Coturnix japonica: one gene and its partners. The main gene of each other region encodes a partner of the protein of the gene in region 4 in a complex. Links are inferred from orthologs where the notes say so. Each region holds a gene or a part of one and is shown on either strand. Other genes may lie near its edges. The genes, in order: MED13, MED23, MED31, MED7, MED8, MED18 and CCNC.

Region 1 (4,225 bases), on a different chromosome or scaffold from region 4:
CTGACAGTTCTTCCCATTATCACCATAAAATCAAAGTTGTAGATTATGGGAATACATTTATCTTATCTCTAGACAACAGTTTATCTCACACAGACTTCTGTAAGGGCTGGCAGGAGAACACCAGGAGTAACAGCACTGACCAAAAGAAGGTATTCGTTTCTTCCTACCTGAGAGATCATGATGGATAAGGTCAGCAAAATTGGGGTCATCACCCCACCAAAATATCCACAGCTCCCTGCGTCCAGGTCTCTGGTCTCGGCGCCAAACACTGAGCACATCTGCCTTCAGACAGCGACTGAAGCTGCTCAAAATAGGGTCCTCTTCCGTCACCGGAAAGAGAATGGGGGCAGACGTTGGACCCTGCCATACGTATCGCTTCCATTTAATCCCAGTTAGATCAGCCTAAGGGAAGGAAAAAAAGAAACCATCAGACATCGGGGTATGTTCCCAATAGAAACAGCCAGCTGTAACAGGAACCACGCTTCTAAGCTCTGCGCACCTGAGAAGGTAAATTGGAAATAACCAGGCACCTGGTTTCTAAATCTCCTAATAGCTGCAGTAAAGTGAGAGCTGAGCGTTTTCACTGCAGCTTTAAAGCGACAGAGAAAAAAAACACCCCATTTGATTTAAAACAAAAAATGAAAAACGAGCAACAATTAGCTAATTCTTTGCAGGCTCCAAATGTCCAATCTTAGAAGCGCTCGCCTTAGCAAATAACCACTCACTTCATGCTCACTTCTGCTTACGCTGCCTTTTGAAATCCAAGATTACTCTGAGGATACAGGAAATAGGGAAAAAAAACCCAGCTCAGCCACACGTTCTGCCACTCCTCTGCTACTTCAGAAGATTTCACTGCTTCCCTATTGTAAAATTCCCTATCGTGTGCAGGAAGCTCCTCAAGCTCACTTATTTCACTCTGAGCCATCACGCTTTTCATTTCCCACCCCACGTTTTAAGAATTTAAATCCTGTTTCTCTCATTAAATTACACATCATTGGTTATGATCCACTAAATCCCCTTCTGGGCAAAGCTTCATCCGACTTTATAGAGCGAAGAGCTACCACCATACCTAGAGGGAAAGCGACAATTCCTGGATTATCCCCAACCCAGCACCACACTAAGTTCTAACACTGAGCTTCTCCCCCTCAAGCACTTCAGCCTTAAGGCCCTTTGGGGCTGCAATGCCCCTTAGTTCCCATCAAGAAGGCAGCACGGAGGCGAGGTGCTACTTGCCAACAAGTTACTGATTTCCACCTAAGATCACTGCAACATTTAAACCTAACATGGCAGCCTTCTACCTTGAGGAGGAGAAACAATTTAGATGGAAGCTACGGGGGCTGCAACAGTTGACATTCAGACAGCCTGGATTTACAAAGGTGGCAGCAGAATGGGTTGCAGGCCCCAAAGGGGTTCCCCCATCCAGCAGCTCCCACAGCCTGGCATAGGTTTTGTTGGTTCGGTGGATGCTTTTACTTATAATGATTTCAATAACAATGATGATAAAATACATCGGGCAGCCATCTGATATCGGCCGATTTGCATTAAGCCGATGAAGGAGGTGAGTGCAGCACCCAAATTGCATCACAGCCCAATGAAATCCAATCTGCGCTACCAAAAGGAAAAAAATCCCAACAATTTCGTACTGAGGTTGAATGAGGGGGGAAGGAAAAATAAAGAGCACAAAATGGTGCACAACGCATAGAAGGCTTTTGCAGAGTGCTTGGGGGTCTCGGGGTAAAGGCGGCGGGGGGTGGCTTAAAGGCAGGGAGAAGGGTTTGGGCCGTGGGATGCGTGCAGCGGGAAGGGAAAGGAGAAAGTTGGCCGAGGGGAGAAGGCACAGCTCCCTTCAGTAAAGAGGTAAAAGAAAGCCCAAAAAGTTGAGGGCAGGGCCGGAGCCGCGAAGCCCGGGCTGAAAGCGGAGGGAGGGGCGAGGCGAGGCGGCGGGGGGGCACGGAGAGAGCTGGGCTGCCGCCCGGCTGGGCCTGCTCCGAGGGCTCCTCCAGCAGAAGCTCTGCTAAAAATGGCTGCTTTGCTGCCACTGCCCGGCCTCCTCCTCCCCTCCCCCGGCCGCCTCCCGTTCCCACTCCGCTCACGTCGCGCGTGTGCGCGGCCTCGGGCGCTCACCAGGCAGAAGAGGTTGGAATGGCAATCCTCCAGGCTGGCCCCGTTCGGCACGAAGCAGGAACTCATCCTCACAGCCACAACCCACACGCCATTATCCCACAGCCTCCGACAAGAAAGAAAGAGACAGACAGAGAGAGAGGGAGAGGGAGACAGACACTGCGAGGGGACGGGGGAGGGGGCGAGGCACACGCACAAATAATAATGCAGTTAAATAAGGGCTTTACGTACACACATACACACACGGAATAGTGGTAGGATAAATAACCCGGGAGGGTGTAAGAGAGAGGAATGGGGGGGGGAGGGGGTTAAAAATTATTGTTATTATTTTTTAAAGAGAAACTCAGAGCGTTTTCTCGTCTGGATATGAAATAAGAAGGAGGGGGTGGAGGATAAGGGGAGGCAAAGGGGAGGACAGAGGGAGGCGGTGGGTAACGCAGCGCAGATTGGGATCAATCCCCGCTCCTCTTCTGGAGGGGTGATGTATCCAACAGGAGAAAATGGGGTAACGAATCCTGGGGGGGGGTTAATGGGAGAACCCGGCCGGCATCTCTCCTTCCTCTGATCGCGGGGAAATAAATAATCCAACGGGGTAATGAATCCTCCTCTTCCTTCGGGGAGAAAAGGGGCAACAGCGCAGCGCTCGGGTAGGGCCCGATCCTGGGCTCGTGGCTTCGCAGTCCGAGGGCAACAGGGTATATGTGCGTAAAGGGGGGGGGGGAAAGGAGGGGGGCTTGGGGGGGTTCTTCGTTTTCCCCCCCTCCAAAAAAAAAATAATAATAATAATAAAAAATTGCCAATAAATTAAAAATGTAAAATCATCAAAACAAACGCGAGGGGCCGGCGGTGAGGAGAGCCGGAAGGGTTGGAGAAGGCCGAAGAGAGGAGATCGTCCTGGGGGGGGGAGACCCCAAAAACCATCTGCGGGAGCTGATGGGGGGGGGGAAAGGAAAAGGAAGGGAAGGGGGGGATCCTGGAGAGGGAAAGGCCGCAAAAGTCTCCTCGGGGGGATGGGGGGAAACGGCCCCGTCCCCGAAATCAGCGCTGATCGTGGAGAGGGTGAGAATCCGTCCGTGGGGGGAAGGAGGGGGAGGGGGCTGGAACTGCGGGCGGCCCTCGGAGTCTCGTCGGGCGCGGACGGAGCGTCCCAATGGAGCCGTCGGGGGGAATCGCTGAGTCTTCAGGGGGCGGCCAACCCCCCCCCAACCCGGCGCCGGGTCACGGCGGGCAGCGAGGGGCCTCTGGGCCGCAACGAAACCCTCACAAGCCTCAACCCTTCACCCCCCCCAATTCCTTCCCGAGGTGGAAGGCGAGGAGGGACTGGTCCCTTAAAAAATAATGGTTAAATAAGAGAAAAAAAAAAGGAAAAAAAAAAAAGCGGGGGGAGAGGGAGGGAGGGGGAGAATAAAAATATCAAATGATGATCTTCAGCCGGTTGGTTTCTTCTGCGATGGGGGGGGATGTGTGTGGAGGAATAAGGGGGGGGCTCTTGCCGCCGCTCTCCTCAGGTGCGGGGGGCTCGGGGGGCTCCGGGCGCTGCGCGGGGGCGGTGGGCGGAGGAGCCCCCTCCTCCTCCTCCTCCTGTGGATGAAGTCTCTCGTCAGGAGGGCGGGGAGGCGGCGGCCGAGCCCCGGGCTGTGCTCCTCAGCACGAAGGGAACGGGCTCGGAGCCCCCCCACCCCCCAACCCCGACTGAAGGACGAGTCGGCCGCTGATCGATCGCTGATTGATTGATTGATCGCTGATTGATTATCGCTGCTGCTGGGCTGCCCCGGAGCCCCCGGCTCTGCTCCTCCTCCTCGCTGTCCCTCAGCGGTGCCTCTGTCGGCGGCTGCCCGGCCGCGGCATCGTGTTCATCATCCGGCTGCCCCCCCTCAGCGCGTGTCCCCCATGTCGAATGTCGGCCGGGTCGGGGCTCAGGGCACGATCCTCCCGCCGTGTAATTCTGAGCCCCTTTTTCTTTAATGGCGGACACAGGGACGAAAGTCGGGGCCCCCTGCCGCAAGCTCATTGGGCGACGTGCCGTCACGTGGGTCCGCCCGGCCATGGCCGCCGTCGCCGCCGGGGGAAGCAGGGCGCCGCGCCGCGGACACCGGGCGGCTTC
Region 2 (2,437 bases), on a different chromosome or scaffold from region 4:
GGCCACCCCAATCTGTCTCCAAAAACACAAAAAAAATGAAAACATTTTAATGCACTTTACACTGGAAACAGTTATACAGCTTAAGAAATGTGTACTGCTTTTAAAGTATCTGCATTTCTTAACTGTTTACTTTCTTTCAAGTACAAATGGACAAATGAGCAAGACTAAACAATCCCATTATGGTTAACCACATGGTTCTTTTTTCCTAAGTGGTGTATTGATGAAACTGTGGTATATGGGATGCAAGCAATAGTTAAACACCACTGACTGAATGTATGCTGTGAGTAAAAGCCTATAAAATCCATTTAAGTATGAACAGTTAAGAACAAGTTTTGAAGCTTCTAGAGAGATGCTGACCATGTTTACCTTTTATCTAGACCATGCTTGTTTTTAAAAACAGTTTTATTTGTATAGAATTCAATTCCAGATGTTTATGACACATCTCTGTCAGACTTTATAATATAACTGCAGTGCAAAAATAATGGATGCTGTACAACGTGATCCAAGAGCTATTACTTTACCTCTATCATGCATCGTGTCCTCTCCTGCTGGAACCGCTGTAGAAAAGGACCGACGAGGTGGTAAACATAAAGCAGCTGGAACTCTGTTTTCACTATGGGTATCAACACTTCTGTGAGGAACCTGTAATATTTCCAAAGTACTTATTACTTCAGCCAGACGTTTTTCCTCCTTTTGCCCAAAATTCAGCTAAGGAATCAGATTATCTCCGATGGATCTGAGCCTTTGTTTTAGAAATTACTGTGATGTTTTGAAAATATTCTCAAAGAGAAAAGCAATCCCACCTAAGCATAGTAGAATGCTATGTACAGTGGAAATGCTGTCCTCTGGAGTTTTAACATTACGTTTAAATCAATGGTCACAACCAATTGACAGGAATTCATCATACCACCTCCACTTTTGCCCAGTACGTTAAAACTTGTTATTAGCAAATGATAGCTGTTAGTCTTACCATTAACACAGCACTGTGGAAAGTCAAATCAGTATTTTTTTTTAATGCAGTGGTACTTTTCCCTTGCCTTAATGACTAAGTGGGCCACTACTGTGTCATTCAATCAGCAAAGCATCTCACTGAGCAGCTACAGGGTACTTTCCAGAATTAAAGACACACCGGCCGTAGCTGACACCTTATAATTATACCACAATCAGCACTTTAGGAAAAGTTTAAATGAACAAAAACAAGCATACAACTAATAGAAATTTTTCAAAAGGCAGTCGTGAAAAGCAATCACACTCTAGATGAGAGCTCTGAAACTTACAGATAATAAGAGCTATGCTGGGGGGGGAAAAAGGGAGCTGAAAAAGGACTCGTGATTTATTGAGTGGATTTCAGTGCAACTCCCTACATATTTGCTGGTATAAATACTACAGGTACAGCTTCAGTATATACAACATGTAAAATTGAAAACAAATAATCAAATATAATTACACCTACTTGGGAATGAGAGACAGCTGTCCAATGCTAGAATGATGCCAAACAGCATGTGCCAAAGCCAGAGTGTAGCTACAACTCATCTCAGAGTAAGACTGATGACATGCTGTGAAGTCAAACAGCTGGAAAGGGTAACCAACCCACTCTGTCTCTGATGTCAAGCTGGGACTATTGATAACACTCACAATGTGGTCATGGAGAACAATCCAGTATGGTTCCTGGAAAAACAAAGAGTCTTAATTCTTTCTGCAAAGAGCATTATAGACAACAGCAGAGAAAGGATGAGAAGCACTGTTATATTTAAGATGTTTTCAACTAGATAGCAGTTTATATGCCTGTTTGATGAACCTGAAAATTAAGATGCATAATACAAAACAAACACATCCATGTCTGTGGATGGGGTACACTCAAGGACATAATGTTATCACAACATATTTCATTAATTTAATTATTTAGAGAGCTACTGTAAAAGAGACCAAAAGGAACAGAGCAGACGTTAAAAGCCTTCATGGAAAGAGACCTAAAATTGTCTGAGTACAAGCACAGACAGACCAAAAAACATGAAAACAAAAAGCAAGGTACAAATGTCAGAGAGTATAAACAAAGGTTCGAGGAAAATGCTCCAGAGAAATCCATGGATCAAAAATAAGAAGGACAAAATCCACGCTGTTTTTTCCTCCTCAAAGAAAGAAACCACTTTGAAAGAAGAAGGTCACAAGGACAACTGTTGCACACATAGCCAACAAGAAATAAGAGAAAATTATTCAGCCTTTCCTTACATTCAGAAGATCAAAACATCTACTGAAACATGACCACTAATACTGCAATCACTTGCTTTTACAGTCTTAGGTATATTTATATAGTTTAACAATATTTCGCAGGAAGTTGAGAGAATGATATAAACACATACAGGTAAAGGATATGTAAGTGTTAAGACAATTACATTCCTATCAGAAGCCTTATAGAAAATTTTGAGTTTGTAGTTCC
Region 3 (3,975 bases), on a different chromosome or scaffold from region 4:
AAGGTGCACTAGAACTGGAGTCTCCAGTATCTCTCCATTATTTTAGTCATTTAGTGCCTTACTCAAGTACCTGAAACAGTGAGCGCTGTACCTTTTCCATACACTGTAACTTAATACCTTCAGTAACTACAAGGCTAGAAAACAGGGAATCCAATAACAATATAAATACATACACGGAGCTGATTAAAATAACTTTTATAAATACTAGATTTCATTAAAACAAAAACTAATTAATTAAATAGCTCTTTCCAGAGCTCATTTGAAGTAAACAAAAAAAATTTCAATAACTGAGTTTAAACATTAATTAAAAAAATGAAAAAAAACGATTCTTTGTGTAGCTATCAACAGGGCAAAAATCACTCTCAGAATGTTCTTAATGGGCTGAAGTAGTTTTGTCCCGTGATGTTCAGTAATCTTGCTTTATGCAGATAGAAGGTGCAGATAAAGGTTGCAAATGGAAAATTCCATGCATATGTCAAGAATGAAACGTTCTTTAATTGTGCCTATCCCAGACTACAGGAAACAGGAAAATTTATACTGCATATAAACACAGTGCATGTTTTGGCTGCAGGGAGAAATCAAATATGCACATGCTACTTTACAGTGCATAAGAGAAGGTAAAAATCATTAAAATGCAGAAACCTGAGGGCTTTTAATACTTACTTCAAGTATTTTGCATATTCAGGTTCTTTCCAATACAGTAAATATTTAAGATAGTTTACAAAAGCTTTGTCTTTGAAGTATCCTCTTTGTGCAAGAACTGAAATAAGAGACAAGGAATTTTTTACAACTCAATAAAAAAAAAACACAAAGGGAAAAATATATCTTAAGTCAACACTCTAATACAAGTTAAGCATAGTGAGTTAGCATATAACTTTTATACAGCAACAAGGATGCGATGTCTTCAAAAATAGGAACTTCTGACATCAAAACTGTCAGGGAAAACCAAAGAAATTAAGAATTCCACCTGAAACTATTATAAGCATTAGTGAAATGTTGGTTTCAGATATGAGTACTTCTAAGATTGAAATGTAATTATTATTATTTATTTTCTACTACAGATGTGCACTTATTCTCCACCAGACAGTTGTGTTTTATTTCAAGAAATAATCATTTCACATTTTAAAGGTGTCATCTCCTCCCTCTTCTACCTCACCTTTGAAATTCGGACAAATTAAATTATCCTCAGACTACTTTTTTCCTTAAAGATCTCTTCCCTTTTCTTTGTTTACCCTTCGCCTCTGCACACACACACACACACACACACACACACACAGTTTACCATTACACGTAATCATTAAACTGTTAAATAACATTAACTTCTCAGGATCCCTGACATTAAGTACTCACAGTTGAGGTAATTGGGATTTGCTAGGCACTGAACAAACTCCAACTCCAACTGGAACCTAAGTCGATTTCCTGTATCATCTGAATACAAGAGAAAAAAAAAAAACAGTAAAAACTGGACTTACATGGCAGATTTAAAAGTAAGTTTCTCAACTTGAGCCACAAAAATAGAAACGTTTAGAGAGGAGATAAAGCACCAAGAGCCCACAAGTATGGGCTCATCTAGCAGTCTTTTCTATTACATGAATAAGTGTTGGGCCCATGTTAATACATGTACTATTGTTTGTTTGTTTTTTTAACAACTAAAAACGATGCAAATAATGGAGAAATGCTCTCTGACACTTTATGTAGAATATATGAAAAGGGAAGGGAAAGGGGCCTGCTTTTAGTGCAAGGAAAATATAAGAAGGCAAGAAAAGAACACTACCAGCAGCTCACTGAAAGCCTCCTTGCACATAATTTAAGAAATGCTTACCGTGAGGCTGCTTTTTGTTTTGTTTGTTTTGTACAGAGATGTCTCAGTTTAGTGAGAATCCTGCAGTGTTCTCACACTATTGGTGTACAGTAGGCACTGATGACAGACCCAGGGGTCAGCACAAGATTCTGCTGTCCTATGACAAAAGGGTGAGGGAGCTGGGCTTGCTCAGCCTGGAGAAGGCTCAGGGAGATCTCACTCTGGTCTTTCAGCGTGGAAAGGGAGCTTATAGAAAAATATGTTGACTTTCCACCCTGACTGAAAACAACAGAACAAGAAGGAACAGCTTTAAACTCAAACAATAGGAAACTCAGGTTAGATGTTAGGAAGAAATTCTTCTCCGAGGGGCGGTGAGGCCCCGGCACGGGCCGCCCCTCTCTGTGGGGGCCCCATCCCTGGAGCTGCACAAGGGAAGGCTGGAAGGGGCACCGCGCAGGCCGCTCTGGCGGGAGGTCCGATCTGTAAATAAAGTCCCCTCCATCCAAACACTCGGGGTCTATAAAAGATTCAGCTCCTCGACCACAGATGCAACGTGGGATGTCCGCTGCCATGGCGTCCGGGCAGGTAAGAGCCGCGGTGTCTCCATGAACGTCGCGAAGGGCCCCAACGGGGCCAACGGCCTGAGAAGGGCCAAGCCGGGAGGGCAGCGCAGCAGGACCGCCCCGGGCCCCTCCCGAGGAAAACGATTCGGAGCCTGTCGGCCCATCGCTCCCGAACCGCCCGAACTCTGCACGGCAGGACCACCGACGCTCTCCGTGGCCCGGAGTCGCTCGCCCTGCCCGAACCGCACCGCACCGCGCCGCTCACCTGCGTCCATGGCGGCGTGCTGGGCTCCGCTCCCCGCCCGGCCTCAAAATGGCGGCGGGAGCGCCCGCTGTCGGCAGGCGGGAGTTAGGCGGGAGGCGCAACGAGGCAAGATGGGAAGGTCTGTGGTGGTGAGGAGCTGCGTTAATGATGCGAGTTGTGTAGAAAATGACCTTTTGAAATAAACTAAAGTTGGAGCAACTTTTTTTCCCCTTGTCTTGAAAGAGAGCTGTTACCAGACAGGCAGTACGATTGGAAGGTACCTGTAGGAGCAATGTTCTGGGATGGATTTTTTCCTAGGCATGTGTGTGCTTTTCTTTCTTCCCTTTCCCCTTTTCCTTTTTCCCTTTTCCCTTTCCCTTTTTCCCTTTTCCCCTTTCCCGTTCCCTTTCCCCTTTCCCCCTGGCAGCTCATGCTGAGCTGATCTCACACAACCTCTGCAGTTTATTTATTAAGAAGTTATGTCGTAGTGAAACCAGTTAAACAGATGCGCCAGGGGTGCAGAACAGCACTATGCTATTGCACCTGGAGAAGAGTTCAGCACTTAGGTTGCAGATTTATTCCTAATGCTGCATTCATGTCTGGGGTCACACACTGGATGTTCATATCTTGGTTAAAACAAAGACTGGTGGGGTTTAGCACTGTCAAGCTACCTGAGTTCCATTGCTGCTATGATTGCATTATTAGGCACTTGTGTAACAGTTTGCACTATACAGGCTCAACACGAATCCTAATTCTTTTTTAAAATTTGTGATTTGTTAAACTATTTTCAGTGTCTCAGCATTTTCCTGTAGTGCTATCTCTTTCTATGTAGTGTAACTGTTCCCCTCCAGCCCCAATAGAAATTAGGCTATAAGACCACCTAAAAAAAGACTTCTGCATTGCTTTCCTTAATAAAATAATTTTGTGTTTTGTTTCTTTTTTCCCCAAGGTTTTAGTGGTTGTGGAGTACTACCATTACTATAACAGAATTAGCAGGTCACTCCCCAGTAAATACAGACTTTTGTCTAAAAGCAGAGATCAAACATATCCCACGCATTGGCAGTGCTATTCTGGAACACGATGTATCTCCCAAGACTGACTTCAGAGGAGAGAATCCTAAGAAAGGCTTGGTCACATGAATTAAATTACTACGTAGGTTTGCCAGAGTAAAGTGCAAGAACGCAATTCTTGGCCATCAAAACTAGGAACAAAATTGAAAGTTGGAGTCATATTACAAAAACTAAGAACATTCTCTAGGAAAAGCTGGATTTATTTATGCTTTTAAATATTAGCTTAGTCAGACTTTCAGGGAAGAGGTATTAAGCTGTGTGTTTGAGCCAAGAATTTTCCTTTTTATCATCATCAAA
Region 4 (3,518 bases):
TTTAGCTACAGCGATCTCAATCCCACCACCCAATGGTTAAAATCTACCTGCACATTTAAATAAATCTGCATGCCTGAAAACAGCTGAATTATCCAAGTTATAATTTGCATAACGAGAGTTACAAGTAGTTATAGTAAGTTCCCTCATCCACAAAGTTGATTGTTTCTTTTCTTTCTCTCTTTTTTTTAAAGGTGCTACATCTAGTTTGGAAAGCAGACATGCTACAGACAGGAGGGCTTGAGTAACGAAGCCACTTATCCATTATCAAATCACTCTTTGTGCCATGGGCTTGATCCAAGTCCAGTTCTCTTTAAACACAACTGATGTAGCTTCCATTTGACAGACTTCAGGCACAGACAAGTTACACCACATTACATGTGTAATAAAGCAATTCTTAAGTTCTTTAACATTGTTACATTACTACAAAAAGTTAGAAAGGAATGGATTTCTCAGGCTTCATATTGATTTCATCTTCAATCTAGAATAACTGAAAAGACCCATTTAACGTGTAAACAACTAACATTTATTTGAAATGCAGGAATTGTCAGCTTCCATTTCAGTCAGCCAAACCCCCTGCTTCCAGCAGCACACGGCATTTACAAAATGAAGCACATCCCAGAAAGCTGCAAGTGACAAAACAACGTTATACAAAAAACCTAACAGCATCCACGCTGCACAAAGCAGAGTTATGTTTTGACCAATACACATATAACTCACACAAAATATTAAATATCCTCACCTGCTTAGCAGCTCACACCCACCCCCCAAGTCAGTGTGAACGCTTCAAACAAAATACAGCATGTACCCTCAGAATCCATTTGGCCTCTCTCTATTGTAAGTTAACATAAGACACGATTCCTTCATGTCATTTCATCAATAATGCTGCACATAGCTGCATCTTTGTCTAACACCTGATCTCTCTTGCAGCCAGAACGTTCTCTCTGTTTTTCACTCTGTCCAATGCAGTTGTTGCCGTCATCAGTGTCCATTGGTTCTGTTTTCACTCCCAGTCCCCCCTCTGAATGAGGAAGATCATCAGGCAAGGACGCCAGGCAGTTCTGAATCATCTCCACAACTCGCTCTAAATGCTTCTGAAATCGCTCTGCAGTTTCCAGACGCTGACGTTTCTGCACTTCCATCATGACTCGCAGGGTCTCCCTAGCTTGGTGAGGACGGTACTCGTTTATAAGATGATGGACGTGAACAAAAAGCAGTTTCAGGTCCTCCAGTTTCTCTTCTCGCTTTATACTCCCCGGACTCCTTATCAAGATATCCAAGAGATCCAAAAAGTTGACTAAGATAGACATGTTCAGTTTCCTCAATTCCTTTTTGTGATCAAACTGCATGGGATGCAGCCGCTCAATACCCTGGCTTTCCAAAGGTCGGATAATTAAATCGTCACACTGGAACTGATTACCAAACATCATGTAACTGTCTTTCACAGGTGGAGGTGGCTTTGGGGCCAGACCTTTGCGTATGTTTTCATCGGTGTATTCCTTTATATACTGCATTGGAGGCGGAGGGAGGGCACTCACTTGCTGAGGTTCACCCATCTTTGGGGATTAAAATACCTAGTGGATAGAAAAGAAACGTGCATTACATAACTTATGCGACAACTCCACAGCACGCATGAAGCTAAGAAAACAAACCAGACAGGAGATTCTTCAGCACGCAAATAGCAGGAAACTCCCCAATAAATCCACGTCAGCTTTGCACTGACATACACAGCACATTAAGCACTTCTCAAACCAGACCTGCCAACGAGGAGGCACAGAAGGAAGGAGAGGCCTGATCCGCTAAGCCCGCATCCCAGGGCTGGGAGCGGCAGACAACGGCAGGCAGGGAGAGGCAGCCCTTAAAGCAGCACCCCCCTCCCCCCCGGCCCATCACTACAGCACGGCTCCGGGAGGGCCCAAAGCCGCAATGCTGAACAGAAACAAAGGCTGGGCCGGTCCTACACACAAGGCCCAAAGAAAACACCCCACTCACCTGCACACCGCGCTGAAAACACCACCGCCACCACCGACACCAACACCTCACATCCGGCAACTGCTCTCCTTCCTCCTCCCCTCCATTGGCTCGCAGCTCAAATGGCGTCGTAGACTTTGGTTGGATGCCCGCAATGCCAGTCAGGAGCTCGTTCCACTCACAGCCTGGGCTATGGCGCCCTATTGCGGCTGCCAGGGGCACGGCAGGGATCTCAGCGGGGGTCCCAGCAGGGTCCTCTAATGGCAGAGATCCTCGAATGGCAGAGATGGGAGCGGCCGGCCCGACTCTTGTCGGCATCAGACTCCCTGTGAGACCAACTTCTGCATGAATTGGTGTTTAGTATTTGGTATTCCAGGACTGCTTTCATAGACTCGTAGAACTGCCCTCGTTCAGACGCTTCCTGGACTCTGGTGAGCTCAGTGCCCAGACCGTGGGGAGCCGCCGGTGTGATGGCAATGCTTTAACTGCTGAATGATGCAGGGAATATATGTAGAGCTTCCATGCAACAGAAATTTGGGTGTTATTCCATCACAAAGTGAAAGCATCACCCTGGGAAGTGTTAGCATCCTTTCTATAGCTGAACACATGCAGCCTGGATGCATAAAGTCTGCAACAAACCGATGGAACTTCTTGCTTTTCTTCCATTTCTTTGTTTAAGACAGATTTTAAGGAAAAAAACAACTATCTGTGTCTTCCATATTGCCGTGGGACCTCGGGCTGGCTGGCAGCGCTTCTGCAGATGGCCACTGGTCTGGCAATGCGGCTTTTGTGCTCTGATTTCCTTTTTTCCTCAGCAGATGGCAGTAACCTCCTTCATAAGAAGGAATAAGGGTAAGAGAGCCGCTGTCTACGTGCCCTATCAAGGGCAGAGTTGTTTCTAAATATTACTTCAGTGCACTCTCACTACTTTGTAGGATTGGCAGGTGTTGGTTTGCAGAGCAAACTGTTGCAACTCCAAACCCCACAGACAAGGAGTTAAAAGCACCACTTCTAGAGAGGAATGAGAAAACCCACCTGGTGGGGGATATTAACAAGTCTTTGCTATTGTTAGACTTTCCAGACTTTGATTTCACATTCTCATACCACGAGCTGAGCTCGATTATCAGCTGCCTTGCACTCTGTGAACTGCTCAGTACAGCTCTCAGTGCTGTGACTTCAAAAGGTAGCAGGGAGCCAAGCATTTGTTTTTCACACGTCCTTTTGATCTTGAGTCATTTTCCTAGTTTGCACGTAGAGGCCAACAAATGCAAAAAGAAAAAGGGGTTTCATTTTCATTCTTGGTAGTATGACTGAGATGACTGAGAATGAAGGTGAGTACCACACACAGCATTCTCAATTTTGCTTTCTACTCCATTTCTGTGGTTTTCTCAAATAGGGACACTGTCCAAGACAAGTCCACCAGTGATAATACAGCTCAGTTACTACAGATCTGTTGGAATGAACCCAAACACCACTTCAGCAGATGGGGAATCACTTAAATGAGGTTCTCTGCCACAAAGATAGAAGACCTTAATTTATTGCTTTAGTTA
Region 5 (3,974 bases), on a different chromosome or scaffold from region 4:
ACTGTTTTTCGGGTGGGAGATACTCAGTAGTTTCACCAACGTTAACATGAAAAGTGAAGGTAAGCCTGTGGAGAGCAAGTTAGTGGCTTTTAATTACACTTTTTGGGCAGAGTCTAGAAGAGCTTCAGCAGCGATCAGTGACAGTGCCCTGTCTCTGTGGGATGCCTTACCATGTGAGTCGATCGTACTCATTCTCCAGCTTGTAGATAAAACTGACCAATGAGTTCTTCAGGTCAGCCACCTGGCTGATGAGTGCCTCCAGGGTCAGCTCCAGCTGCTTCTCCTCTCTCTGAAAAAAAGAATGAAAGATAGGGGTGAGGACAAAGCTTTGTACCTTTCCAAGGACTGTGGGGATCCATACATCTGCAACCATATTCCACCCTCTCCTATGGAGAGACTCCTCTTCAAGGCAAGGAAACAGAGACCACGTAGATAAAAATCCTACATTTTCACACTTATCTTGTCTCCTTGTAAGAAACATTTAGGAAGAGACTCGTACCTGAGCCAACCCATGGCTAGCTGTCATTTTTAAGATCTAGATAAGTAAAGCCTATACATCACTTGCATCAGGCAAAGTCATCAAAGTTACCTTGCACCACCTCCGTGAGTTATTCATGCTAACCCAGCTGAAAGCAGATTAGCATTCTCAGCACCCTTTGACAGCAGGCACAGTGATGTCTTCACCCAGCACAGCCATTTGCAAAACAAGTATCAGATCAGTGGCCCAAAGACTCCAGTTTCTGCCCTTACCCTCATCTCTCACTTTCTTCCTGTCCAGGTGCTGCATCCAGCTCCTAAAAATTCCTTGTCCCTTACCAGCTGTGGAAGGCGCTGCAGTGTCAGTGACGTAGTTAGACACATGCAGAGATCACCTGCTGCCTTTTGCCTTGGTGCACTGCTTAAATAATCTTCTCCCCTAGCTGAGAGGAGTATGGTGACATACAAAGCAATAGGAGAGGAGACCTGTTGTCACATATAGCACAGAATATCTCCGACTCTTGCGAAAACCCTCTAGAACCTTATCTATTCTTACTCATTCAACAGAATTGCACAAAATGTAATTAAAGCCCCAATCCTAATGGACTGCTAATGTAAGTCAAGGACTGTACAACAATAATCCACGAGGAGGGTGAGACACAGCAATACAGTTAAATAATAGAAAGGGAATGCTGATTGGGAAAGCAGATGGGGTGACTCAGTCTGCTTGCACGCTCACTATTGGGATCCTTGTGCTGTTTAAACAAACTGAAACTAGCATGAGATCATCAAGTATCTTCCACATTTAAGAGAACATGAAATTATTCTACTCACGGTCTGACAAGACTATAAAGGTTTTGTTTTTTTTTCCATAGACTGCTGATAAGACTTCACTACCTTAGAAGAAATGGCAAAATAAATGTGGCTAAAATCCACTTCCAATCCACAGCATGGATTAACAGAGCAAACCACGGGGTTACAACTCACAGCTACAGCACTGCAGCTCTCCGCCATCCTGTGATGGGACTAGTCTGTTCCTGTGCACTTAAGAAACAAGTCTAACGCTGACTGTGCACGTTGTGTTTGAGCAAGATGAACCACTGACAGCACTACGAGTTGGGCTGGGAGCCAGTATCTCACTGCAGAGGTGGCAGGTACACACAACCAAGACAACTGGTGTGGCCCATTGCCAGCGCGTATCCAAGAAGCCCTAAAGATTGTGAATGAAATCACACTACACTGTGTGACAGTGCAGTCTGAGCCTCCTCCTTTTGTGTGCTCTCTCCATGAGAGCTGGAAGTAAGTTTAAGCACCGCAAAGCACACGTGCACCAAGATCAATGATTCAAAGAAATACTCTGCCTCTCACAGACATATACAAGCAGCAATTCAAGGAGTCTGTTAACAATACTGAATTGTCCCAGGGTAATAAAATAGGATTTACGGGAGAGACTGCTGAAGGAACTCCTGATAATGAATGACTGGGAGGTAAAGGTGAAATTCAGAATAAACATAAAGCAATACACACAATGAAACAAAGAGAAATAAACAACCCTGACTTTACACACACACAATGACATTCTCTGAGCTGATAACATTATCACTCACAAACAAGATCTGAGGATTATCCGAGGGTAACCCAGGGAAACATCAGCCTGAGGCTCAAGAAGTCGAGGAAATCAAAGTAATAATGGGATTTATTAGGAAAGCAAGGGATCCTGTCACTGTTACCTGGGAGAGGAGGCCGACCTCCACCCCATTGTAAATATTTGGAGAGTTTAAGGGAGTCATGGGGTCCCTCTGAGCCTCCTTTTATCCAGACTGAACCATCCCAGCTCCCCCAGCTGCTCTCTGTAATGCCTCCACCCCTCACTTTCCCTGTCGCAATCTCTGGACACGCTCAGGTCTCAATGCCCTTCTTGCTTAAGGGGCCCAGAACAGAACGCAGCACTCGAGATGCGGCCTCAACCAATGTCAGCACAGAGGGACGCCCACCACCCCGCTCCTATAGGATACACTGAGCCTCCACGAGCCAAGATACCATAGACCTTCTCGAACAACTGGGCACACTGCTTTACTCCTCCAAAGCCCGGCCCACGGGGCACAGCGGAACCCCATACGGGCCTACTGCTCCCTCTAGCCTAGCCTAGCCTAGCCTAGCCTAGCCCAGCCCAGCCCAGCCCAGCCCAGCCCAGCCCAGCCCAATACAGCCCTGCTCAACCCCATACAGCCCCTCACCTGCATGGCTGCGCGGCCCTGTTGTTATGGCAGCCTTCCACTTCCGAGTCAGGTCAGAGGGCGCGGGGCGGGGCCGCCGGGCAAACATGGCGGCTGCCGAGAGGCCCGAGGCTGAGGTGAGGGGTAACGCGCTGCGGGGCGAGGGGAGGCGGGGTTGTTTGCGGCTTTGAGACCGGGAACTGTGTAGAGAGGTCGGGGGTTGTGGTGGTGCCCGGCCTGGAGTGACGAGGCGCTGTGCTTCTGCTGCAGGTGGAGGAGGCTGGGCACGTCTTCCTGTTGATGAAGAAGGACTATCGCATCTCCCGCAACGTGCGGCTCGCCTGGGTGCTCAGCCGGCTGCACCAGGTCATCTGGGCTGTGCCCGAGCCCGAGCTGGTGAGTGGGGGCCGGGGGTGCTGCAGGGTGGATGGTGGCCCTGCATCTCGGCGTGTCCTTTGGCTTGGAGTAATGTTTCATGCTTGTCGTTCGCTTCTTGTTGTAGTTGAAGTCAGAAAACGAGCTGGATGTGCTCAGCATCCTGCCCAACGGATGGCAGCCGGATGAGCCCGTCCAGCCCCGGCCCTACCTCTTGGTGCCCTCCACGCGCGTTACGTTCCTGGCCCGCCAGTACCGCTTTGTCATTGAGCTCGATCTGAGCCCTTCCACTGGCATCGTGGTGAGTCCAGGAGCTGCCTCTCTGGGGTGTTTTGTGTTAAAGGACCAGGCTTGGTTCCCTCTGCTGAGAACATGTGTGTCCCTGCATTAGTGGTCACTCCTGCAGGGGTCCTGTGTTCCTGAGGGCTGAAGCAGGCACTGCTGCTGGCAACACAGCCTTGCAGTGGATCCTGTTTCCTTGCAGAATGTGTGACCTCTGCTTGCAGGGGTCGTTCTGAGGCAGCTGCTGTTGCAGAAATAGGCTTGTACTTGTCTCTGTGTGGTGGGTGCAATGAGATTGCAGATTCCAGAAGATGTAAAAGCTGTTTTGTTTACCCCATGCAGTGCTGCTGATTTAGGGGCTGTGGCTGAGAGCTTTATGGAGGGAGAGGATCTAGGAGTGTTAGCTGACAGCTGGCTGAACATGGGCCAGCAGTGTGCCCAGGTCTCCAAGAAGGCATCCTGGCTTGTATCAGAACTAGTGTGGTCAGAAGGACTGAGGAGGTGTTCAAAAGCTGTGGAGATGTGAGGTGCAGTTAGTGGGTGTGGTGGGAATGGGTTGATGGTTGGACAAGGTAATCTTAGCTATAATGATTCTATAATTCTCCTCTTCTGTTTCTGTAGGAT
Region 6 (3,668 bases), on a different chromosome or scaffold from region 4:
CCTTGGGTTGTGTCTGAAGCTGTATGCCGCTTCATACACATACACTACAGTGTATGTAAAGCACTTAGCAGAAAGCAGCTTGACTGTGTTACCGAGGTTGCTGAAGTGAAAGCTGGAATATCCACATAAGCTGTTGATGTGTGAAACGTCTCACCCTGCACTCGCATATCAGAAGCATGTTAGACAATATAGAGTGCTTCCAAAGTTGTACTTCAGCTTCTGTGTTCATTTGTACAGAAATAACAACATTAGGGGAGAGTGTGTGGGGAGAATGGAGACCCAGGGCTGAGGAGTGCTGGAGATACAGCAACATTCGTGCTGTTAAAGCATGACAGCGACTGACAGCAATTGGTGTGTTTTAGTAAAAGGCAGCGTGGTTGTACGTTTCCATAATGATCTTGAGAAATGAAGACTACTTCATGTTTGCCCAAAATACTGGCTTGTATTGAGTGAAAAAGAATTGCAAAGAAAATACAAAATTAATGCAAATAGCTGACGGGTATTTTTGAAGATATATTTTTAATAAAACATACAAAGAGCACAAAAACACAGAAATAGTGGGATGCCTGACCTTGCTTTTGTGAAACTAATGCATCGTGCTGGGCTGATGGAAGTGGCTGTAAGCAGGAAGGAGCCTCTCTGTGCAGCCTGCTCCACGTCACCCCCAAATGAAGCAGTAATTCCTCACTTTGAGATGGACCTTCCTGTGTCCCAACACTGGGCAACAACAGTCAAAGCCTGGCCCCATCCACCTGACTCTCTACAGGCACATTCGGGGGCACTGGGCTCAACTTTCTGAGCCAACATATTGGCTGTGAAGGGTCTTAATTCTGTTTCTTCCCCCCAGGTTATAATTGCAGACCCAGAGCTTCCTGTTCTACACTAACAACAAAGCTGCTTCCAATAACAAACAGCTCCCAGTCTGGATTTGCTAGGAGGGAATCTTTCAGGTCTTTCAAATCTAAAACTAAGCAATTCCTGCAACTACTCCTTTCAGACATCAGGGACCGACTATCCAATGAATAATGCACTAAACAGACTTTTATTCTCTTCCATCTCTGGGAATTACATACATTCTGCTCTTATGCATATATGTAACCTGCATAACCAAATACCAAATGCTGGCTGAGCATCAAACAAAAACAAAACCAATACATCAAAGCCTTTTACCCCTTGCTCCCCAACAACATAAAGTCAATATCTCTATTTATAAGTGTTGCACCTTAATACTGCTTACTGCTCCAGCACAGAGAGGAAGCAGTGGAGCCCTGAACAAAAGTTCTGTGTGCATAGGACTCCAACCAGTCCCTGCACTCACTTCTGGCTACAGCAATGCTATGATAGTCAAGCCAGTTTTCATCACATTAACCTCTTAGGGTCAATTTTTTCCAGGTGTACTAAAGGCTTCAGCTGCTCTGCAAAGTTCCTCATATCATCAGAAACCATATCCTGTCCGGCTGGTGCCACAACATTAAGCTCTACAAGGTAGGAGAGGGAAAGCGGCTCGATGCTGTCCGTGTTACCAGGCATCAAGATACGGAAGATCTTATACACCACAATCTTCATGATCCCCTTTCGGAACACGTGTCCCTTAGCCACGAACTCGTGATCCATACGGAACCCCATCTCCACCAGGAAATCCGTCAGGTTGTCCGAGGTGGCGATGTCCACACAATTTCGCACTAAAGCGTGTCGGTTTTTATCTCCGATCTCCGGCTGCCCCAGGTACCTCAGGTGCCATGGCATGCCGCTTTTATCCATGGATCGCCGGGCACGCAGCACGAAGGGGCTGGCCTGCTGCCCCTTGAGCAGGAACACCATCTCGTGGTCCAGGAAGGTCTCCGGCTCCATGTTGTCGCACAGCCCACGCAGGCGGTGCAGCAGGCTCTCCAGGCTCTGGTCCAGGACGCTCCCTGTGGTGGACACACACGGCTCAGACGATGGCCCCTTCCCCGCCGCAGCGCGGGGCCGAGGCAGGCGGCGAAGGGGCCTCCGCGGGGAGGTACCTCCCCTTCGCCGCCCGCCTCGGCCCCACGCTGCGGCCGAGCCCCGTGTACAGCCCCTGTGTGCCGGCCATACCTTGCAGCAGGTACTCCATCATGTTAATAGTGCCGCCCGTAACGGGCATCATGGTGACGGGAGGCGCCTCCATCTTGGCGGCTGTGGTAAAGATGGCGGCGGGAAGAAAGGCAAGGCCTGAAGGAGGAGGCGGGCGCCACAGTGCGGCCTGGCGGTGAGGAGCAGCCGAACATCGACCAGCTCCCTTTCCTCCTCACAGACATCCAGTTATTCATCCCCAAGCACACAGCACTGCCCCTTAAAGGCAGATGTAAAGAAGGCATCGAGGAACTCAGCCTTCTCCTCCTCAGAGAATCCCAGCCTTCTCCTCAGTGATCACGTTCCCCGCTGCATCAAGTAAAGGTTGGGCATTTTCCTTGGTTCTCCTCTTACTTTGATGTACTTGTAAAGGGATTTTTTTAATGTAACGGCTTCTGCAATACCAGGTGAGAAGTGCTGGTATCACAGACCCACTTCAGTCTTTAATACTGCACTGTATGCTGGACAGTTTTCCTTAACCTTTTGTTTGCTAGGTTATTTCACTGCATCATGAGGTAATCTGAAAGTATCACAATTAAGCCAGTAAATCTAGGATTATTTTACTCAAACTGAAAAAGAAGTTCTGTACCAAAATGTACACGACTTAGTCATAATACAAAATGTTAATTCTACAGCCAGTTAAATCCATCATAATGAACGTTGAGCCACTGTTTATTGTCAGTACAGCGTTACTTTAAATAAGCTCACTGAGTGAACACAGAAATAAAGTAGATCTTCCTCAAATAAAGTGACAGCTATTAACAATACTCCAGGAAGATGTGCATCCATGGTATTTGCATGCTGTCGTAGCATATCTAGCATGTAGTACGTCTTCATGCTTGCACAGCAGCTTTGTGAGCTCATTACAATAATGTTGATTTGGTGATGCACTACAAGACAACCCATATGACTTACATTGAAGCTGAATTTTAAAGAGCACCTCTGCTAGACACCCGTTTAAAAGCTCCACCACATTCCTGTAGCGAACACATCTAGGCCAAACCACTGATCTGCCACCACCTCTGCCCCCTAAGAAGATCATCAAGCACATGAACAGTTCTCCTCCCATGATCAGCTGGACAGGGTGATGCTGACAGCAACCTTCCAGAAGGTGAATCAAACCAGAACACGCCTGTGTTTTCTATATTACATTAAGAACACCTGAGACTGCTTCACTGGTCCAAGTACAGAATTTTAATACAAAATCTGTTGCATTAACATGACATTTCACTGAATTCCCTTAATTAGTACATTCCATTAAAAAAAAAAAATCTTAAAATAAATATTCCCCCTCAAAAAAGTTTAAAAGGAATTAAAGCAAAAAATAAAATAAAACAAAAAACAAAACAACCCCAACCCTGTAGTATTACAGAACAGTGTGATTTTCTGACTTCATTTATCTCAGTGTAAGCAGTAGATTCACACCTCTTCCTGGGGAATAAGTGTCAAACACCGAGAACAAAAGATAGTTTGTAATATGCCAACACACCGTGCCTTGAGAGACTTCTTTTAAAAGAAATGTAAACATCTGTTACTGATTCTTGTTTGAATGCAGCACTCCTATCCAAAAC
Region 7 (3,500 bases), on a different chromosome or scaffold from region 4:
ATATAAAAATCACTTTTAATGGCAAGCCACAATTTTCTCAAAGCAAACCAAACCAGTAATGAACTACTTGTTTTGAGTGGACAGTGTTACCCTTCTGCAGCTTGGTTTAACATTTGATTCCTTACACTGAGAAATCTTAGTACATTTGCTCCAGCGTCAGAGAAAATGATGCAGTTTTAAAGAATAAACTTCCAAAATGCTTGACACAAACAAGCTATTTATTCTTCAAGTTCTTTGTCAAAGATGGTATTAAAAAAATTCTGTCCATTTCATGAACACAGGAAAGATCCCAGGATGTCTTGAGTCAAAGTGGTCCGTAAAGAAGTTCTTTGGAATGTCTTAAGATTGGCTATAACTAGAGTTCTGGCTACCGTTTGGACCCTGTTCTCCTTCACTGTTTGAAAGGAAAAGAAACACGTCTCAGAACAGCAGCACCGTACTGCATTTCTGTCTTTTGCAAACAGAAAACATTTATTCATGTATTTGAACAGCGATTTCAAAATATTCCAATGCAACTCCATTCTGAATTCACTCCTGAAATCAGCGTTTCAGAGTTCCCATAACAGAAGCTCACACATAGGAATTTGCACGTGCAGATTCCACGTAATGATATTTAATCACAGCAATTAAACATGACATCAAACAGGCACTGTTCTAAAGAATCGTGCCCTTTCATCAGGCCTCACACTGCTCCTTTTAAACTGTATTGATCAGATTCTAACTACATTACTGCTTTCCATGAAAGAGCAAATATTCTCCTCCTGAACAGTCTGACTGGGTACTTAGAGGAAAGCCGGCAGTGCAGTCATACACTATGCCTCAAACTTAACATAGCACATAAGATAATACTTTATTTTTTCCCATATGAAAGGTGCAGTAAATAATGGAGGTATGGTACCTGTTTGGAGGTGGTTTTGGTTTAGGCATTTTGCTAAGGATAGTAGCCATCTCTTTTCTCTCATCAAAGTTCTTCCACTGCTCATACAGCTTCAGAATAACCCTGATTATTTCTAAAATCTGATTTGAAAGAAAGTACATTTTAGGTCAATCACAATAGTGACTTTTATATTTATATCATCATTTGCAGTGTACAGTTAATTATCCATTTCTCAAACTCAAATTAAGAAGCATAATTCTCATGATAGAAACAGAGCTGTCTCCTATATAATCCGGTCTGGCAATCAACCATTTTTGCAAAGAGTTTTTTGGCTTAACTGTTGAACTGAAGCCTGACAGAACCAATATCTCTCTCTCCCACTCCATTTCCCTCCCACTTTATCAACCATTTCTCCTCCCAAAGTCGAACGGCTGCTTATATTTGATGCTACTGGGAAAACAAGGACACTTGGCAACGTGTTTGTTGCTAAATGATTACGGATTACAAATGAAGTAACTGATTATTGTCTGTGTTCTATACCAGCCATGGGGGCACAGTACTAAAAACAAATGAAACCAACCAACGGTGCCCTGAATTCTTTACTTCCAAAATAATAATAAAAATAAAATTAAAAAAATCAAGAGCTAGGAAGTGTCTCAATACTTTATAATAAGAACTGTTGAATTTTCAAACTCTATTTCCAGAAGTATAAATATTCTCTACCAGTTTGGAGGCTACATTAATTTCCTGTTAATTTTCTAGTGCAATATTCTACACAGAAGGTGGATAAATACTGAATAACCCCACTTGCAAGGGACCCACATGGATCAGGTCCAACTCCAGCTTCACAAAGTGCCACCCAGAAATCAAACCATGTTTGCTTCATTATTTGTTTCGCCACTTACTAAATTAATGAAGTAAACTTCTTTCCAGTTTATGGACTTTGATCAAATGCTAGAACAATATACATCCTTGAACCAGAAACTATGTTTGGCTATGAAGTTCCATAGTGTTAAAGGTTAAAAATAATAATAATAATCTAAAAATTAATTTTTTTTAAAAAAAATCAAGCTTAGATGTAATCACTGGTAATGGGAACAGAAACGTTTAAACATTCAAACACATTCAACACCAAGCCTATGATAACCTTACATGTCAAACATATGTTGTTTATTAGAATACTGTTCAATCTTGAGCAATAAATATTGGGAATTCTTTTTTCTTCTAGCAAAAAAATTAAATAAACAAACAAGATACTGGTTTTCTATTTCAGTCTGTAAAATGGCAACAGCAGCAATGCTCTGCCCTTATGTCTTGTCTTTCAGTGCAGAGTGATACCCAAATGACCTGACATTTCCTATCTCCTACCTAATTTCAATAGTCCGTAATGCGATTGCTGAATGAAGTTCAAATCAGTATCACACACATGCAAAACAGGTTCAAACCACTGCTAACATTTCTAGTCAGTCCATAGCAGAGGGCAGGAGGTAAAAAGAGAGTACCTTTTCCATATCAACAGATAGCTCAGCAAACCATTGCCTCGCATCCTTCTGCTGGACAACACAGGCCACGTGTAGGCAAGCTGCAAAGATCAGGTGATAAGAGTGAATCATTGTTGAGTATCTCTTAATACACTTAGAAATACTCTCCAAGTCAGGTACTTTTCTATGGTGTTTGGAGTTCCTCAGTTCCTCTGCAAAAAATCTCAGCGAGTTTTCAAAGAAGAAATCTGGGGATTAATTACCTGATTTTTCTTCAAGGCTTTCTAAGTTGCAAGGTTATACTGTCAGTACTGTATGAAATATAAACTGGAGAAGCTTAAGAGAGCGTACTAAGGAAAACTTGTTGATGGGACAAAGTACAGAAGGCATCTATTTAAAGGTGACAGTGACGTTACTTGTGTTACTTACCTAGAGCTATCATGAAAGGAGGGTACAGCAGACAAAGATCAGTTCTATACGTGTCATTCACTATCCTCCTGTGCAAAACAAAGAGAGCATAACAACTCCTTTAGACTACATGATTCATAAACATTTTGCCAGTTACCCATGTGGTAGAAACAAAGAGTATACAGGGCAAAATAGAGAAAGTGAGATCTCTTCCTCTTTAAAAGTCTATTAAAGACAACCATTGTTTTCCTTGCAATCACTGCAGAAGTCTGTTTGGAAACACTATTATAACATCATCAGTGCCATTCTGCAGAGTGTGTTCTCTTCTACCATAAATTAATTATCCCTGCTCCGCAAATAAGCAAATTGAAGCAAAAGTAAAGGTAGTATTTTTATTGTCTGTATTGGAGAAACAATTAAAGTGTTTAAGGAGTTCTGTTTTACCAGTCTAAGAAACAGAACCATGTACTGCTTTTACTGAAAGCTGACTCTAACAGAAAGATAGCTGTGTCTACACAAAGTCGACATTTAACAGTGTAAAAATGGTGCTATTGGAGCTGTTCTAAAAATAAAAACCAGAGCATTTCAAAGTAGAAACCATTACAGGGTTAAAAACAATAATTTAAGCCAGTGACACGTGTGCATAGGTTAACTAGTATACCCTTTGTATTATTTAGCCTGCTAAGCCATCTCTGAGGCATAACTGTTAAACACTCGCTTTCTTGCTGAAAGGA

Evidence for each region.
Region 1: MED7 (region 4) and MED13 share a complex: the UniProt entries of both Homo sapiens proteins name them as parts of the mediator complex. The link is inferred for Coturnix japonica from reciprocal best matches to the Homo sapiens genes MED7 and MED13.
Region 2: MED7 (region 4) and MED23 share a complex: the UniProt entries of both Homo sapiens proteins name them as parts of the mediator complex. The link is inferred for Coturnix japonica from reciprocal best matches to the Homo sapiens genes MED7 and MED23.
Region 3: the proteins of MED7 (region 4) and MED31 are in contact, whole or in part, in a cryo-EM structure (PDB 7EMF), measured with the Homo sapiens proteins. The link is inferred for Coturnix japonica from reciprocal best matches to the Homo sapiens genes MED7 and MED31. Residues at the interface, in NP_001094286.1 of Homo sapiens: Met15, Gln16, Tyr17, Ile18, Lys19, Tyr21, Thr22, Asn25, Ile26, Lys33, Pro34, Pro35, Pro36, Pro37, Ile38, Lys39, Asp40, Tyr42, Met43, Met44, Phe45, Gly46, Gln48, Gln50, Asp52; in NP_057144.1 of Homo sapiens: Asn14, Arg15, Leu16, Arg17, Phe18, Gln19, Leu20, Glu21, Leu22, Glu23, Phe24, Gln26, Tyr33, Phe36, Leu37, Tyr42, Asp45, Ala47, Phe48, Asn50, Tyr51, Tyr54, Tyr57, Glu62, Tyr63, Lys65, Tyr66, Lys68, Tyr69.
Region 5: MED7 (region 4) and MED8 share a complex: the UniProt entries of both Homo sapiens proteins name them as parts of the mediator complex. The link is inferred for Coturnix japonica from reciprocal best matches to the Homo sapiens genes MED7 and MED8.
Region 6: MED7 (region 4) and MED18 share a complex: the UniProt entries of both Homo sapiens proteins name them as parts of the mediator complex. The link is inferred for Coturnix japonica from reciprocal best matches to the Homo sapiens genes MED7 and MED18.
Region 7: MED7 (region 4) and CCNC share a complex: the UniProt entries of both Homo sapiens proteins name them as parts of the mediator complex. The link is inferred for Coturnix japonica from reciprocal best matches to the Homo sapiens genes MED7 and CCNC.

The regions. Positions count from the first base shown.
Region 1 is NC_029534.1:6,168,710-6,172,934, reverse strand, and holds the start of MED13 (mediator of RNA polymerase II transcription subunit 13), read right to left. Parts: upstream 2,801-4,225; 5' UTR 2,191-2,800; coding exon 2,125-2,190; intron 403-2,124; coding exon 168-402; intron 1-167. UniProt on the Homo sapiens protein: Component of the Mediator complex, a coactivator involved in the regulated transcription of nearly all RNA polymerase II-dependent genes.
Region 2 is NC_029518.1:51,950,080-51,952,516, reverse strand, and holds part of MED23 (mediator of RNA polymerase II transcription subunit 23), read right to left. Parts: intron 1,669-2,437; coding exon 1,454-1,668; intron 643-1,453; coding exon 522-642; intron 13-521; coding exon 1-12. UniProt on the Homo sapiens protein: Required for transcriptional activation subsequent to the assembly of the pre-initiation complex. Component of the Mediator complex, a coactivator involved in the regulated transcription of nearly all RNA polymerase II-dependent genes.
Region 3 is NC_029534.1:8,576,617-8,580,591, reverse strand, and holds the start of MED31 (mediator of RNA polymerase II transcription subunit 31), read right to left. Parts: upstream 2,801-3,975; 5' UTR 2,640-2,800; coding exon 2,630-2,639; intron 1,429-2,629; coding exon 1,351-1,428; intron 761-1,350; coding exon 664-760; intron 1-663. UniProt on the Homo sapiens protein: Component of the Mediator complex, a coactivator involved in the regulated transcription of nearly all RNA polymerase II-dependent genes.
Region 4 is NC_029528.1:6,561,722-6,565,239, forward strand, and holds MED7 (mediator of RNA polymerase II transcription subunit 7), read right to left. Parts: upstream 2,096-3,518; 5' UTR 1,990-2,095; intron 1,783-1,989; exon of another isoform or gene 1,755-1,782; intron 1,572-1,754; 5' UTR 1,554-1,571; coding exon 861-1,553; 3' UTR 501-860; downstream 1-500. UniProt on the Homo sapiens protein: Component of the Mediator complex, a coactivator involved in the regulated transcription of nearly all RNA polymerase II-dependent genes.
Region 5 is NC_029523.1:17,388,685-17,392,658, forward strand, and holds the start of MED8 (mediator of RNA polymerase II transcription subunit 8), read right to left. Parts: upstream 2,801-3,974; 5' UTR 2,721-2,800; coding exon 2,715-2,720; intron 775-2,714; exon of another isoform or gene 757-774; coding exon of another isoform or gene 751-756; intron 290-750; coding exon 171-289; intron 1-170. Other genes in the region: KICSTOR complex protein SZT2, read left to right, coding at 2,801-2,830, 2,964-3,089, 3,196-3,369, 3,972-3,974. UniProt on the Homo sapiens protein: Component of the Mediator complex, a coactivator involved in the regulated transcription of nearly all RNA polymerase II-dependent genes.
Region 6 is NC_029547.1:21,930,463-21,934,130, forward strand, and holds MED18 (mediator of RNA polymerase II transcription subunit 18), read right to left. Parts: upstream 2,266-3,668; 5' UTR 2,153-2,265; coding exon 2,080-2,152; intron 1,914-2,079; coding exon 1,360-1,913; 3' UTR 501-1,359; downstream 1-500. UniProt on the Homo sapiens protein: Component of the Mediator complex, a coactivator involved in the regulated transcription of nearly all RNA polymerase II-dependent genes.
Region 7 is NC_029518.1:64,955,311-64,958,810, reverse strand, and holds part of CCNC (cyclin-C), read right to left. Parts: intron 2,856-3,500; coding exon 2,788-2,855; intron 2,460-2,787; coding exon 2,380-2,459; intron 1,018-2,379; coding exon 899-1,017; intron 395-898; coding exon 340-394; 3' UTR 1-339. UniProt on the Homo sapiens protein: Component of the Mediator complex, a coactivator involved in regulated gene transcription of nearly all RNA polymerase II-dependent genes.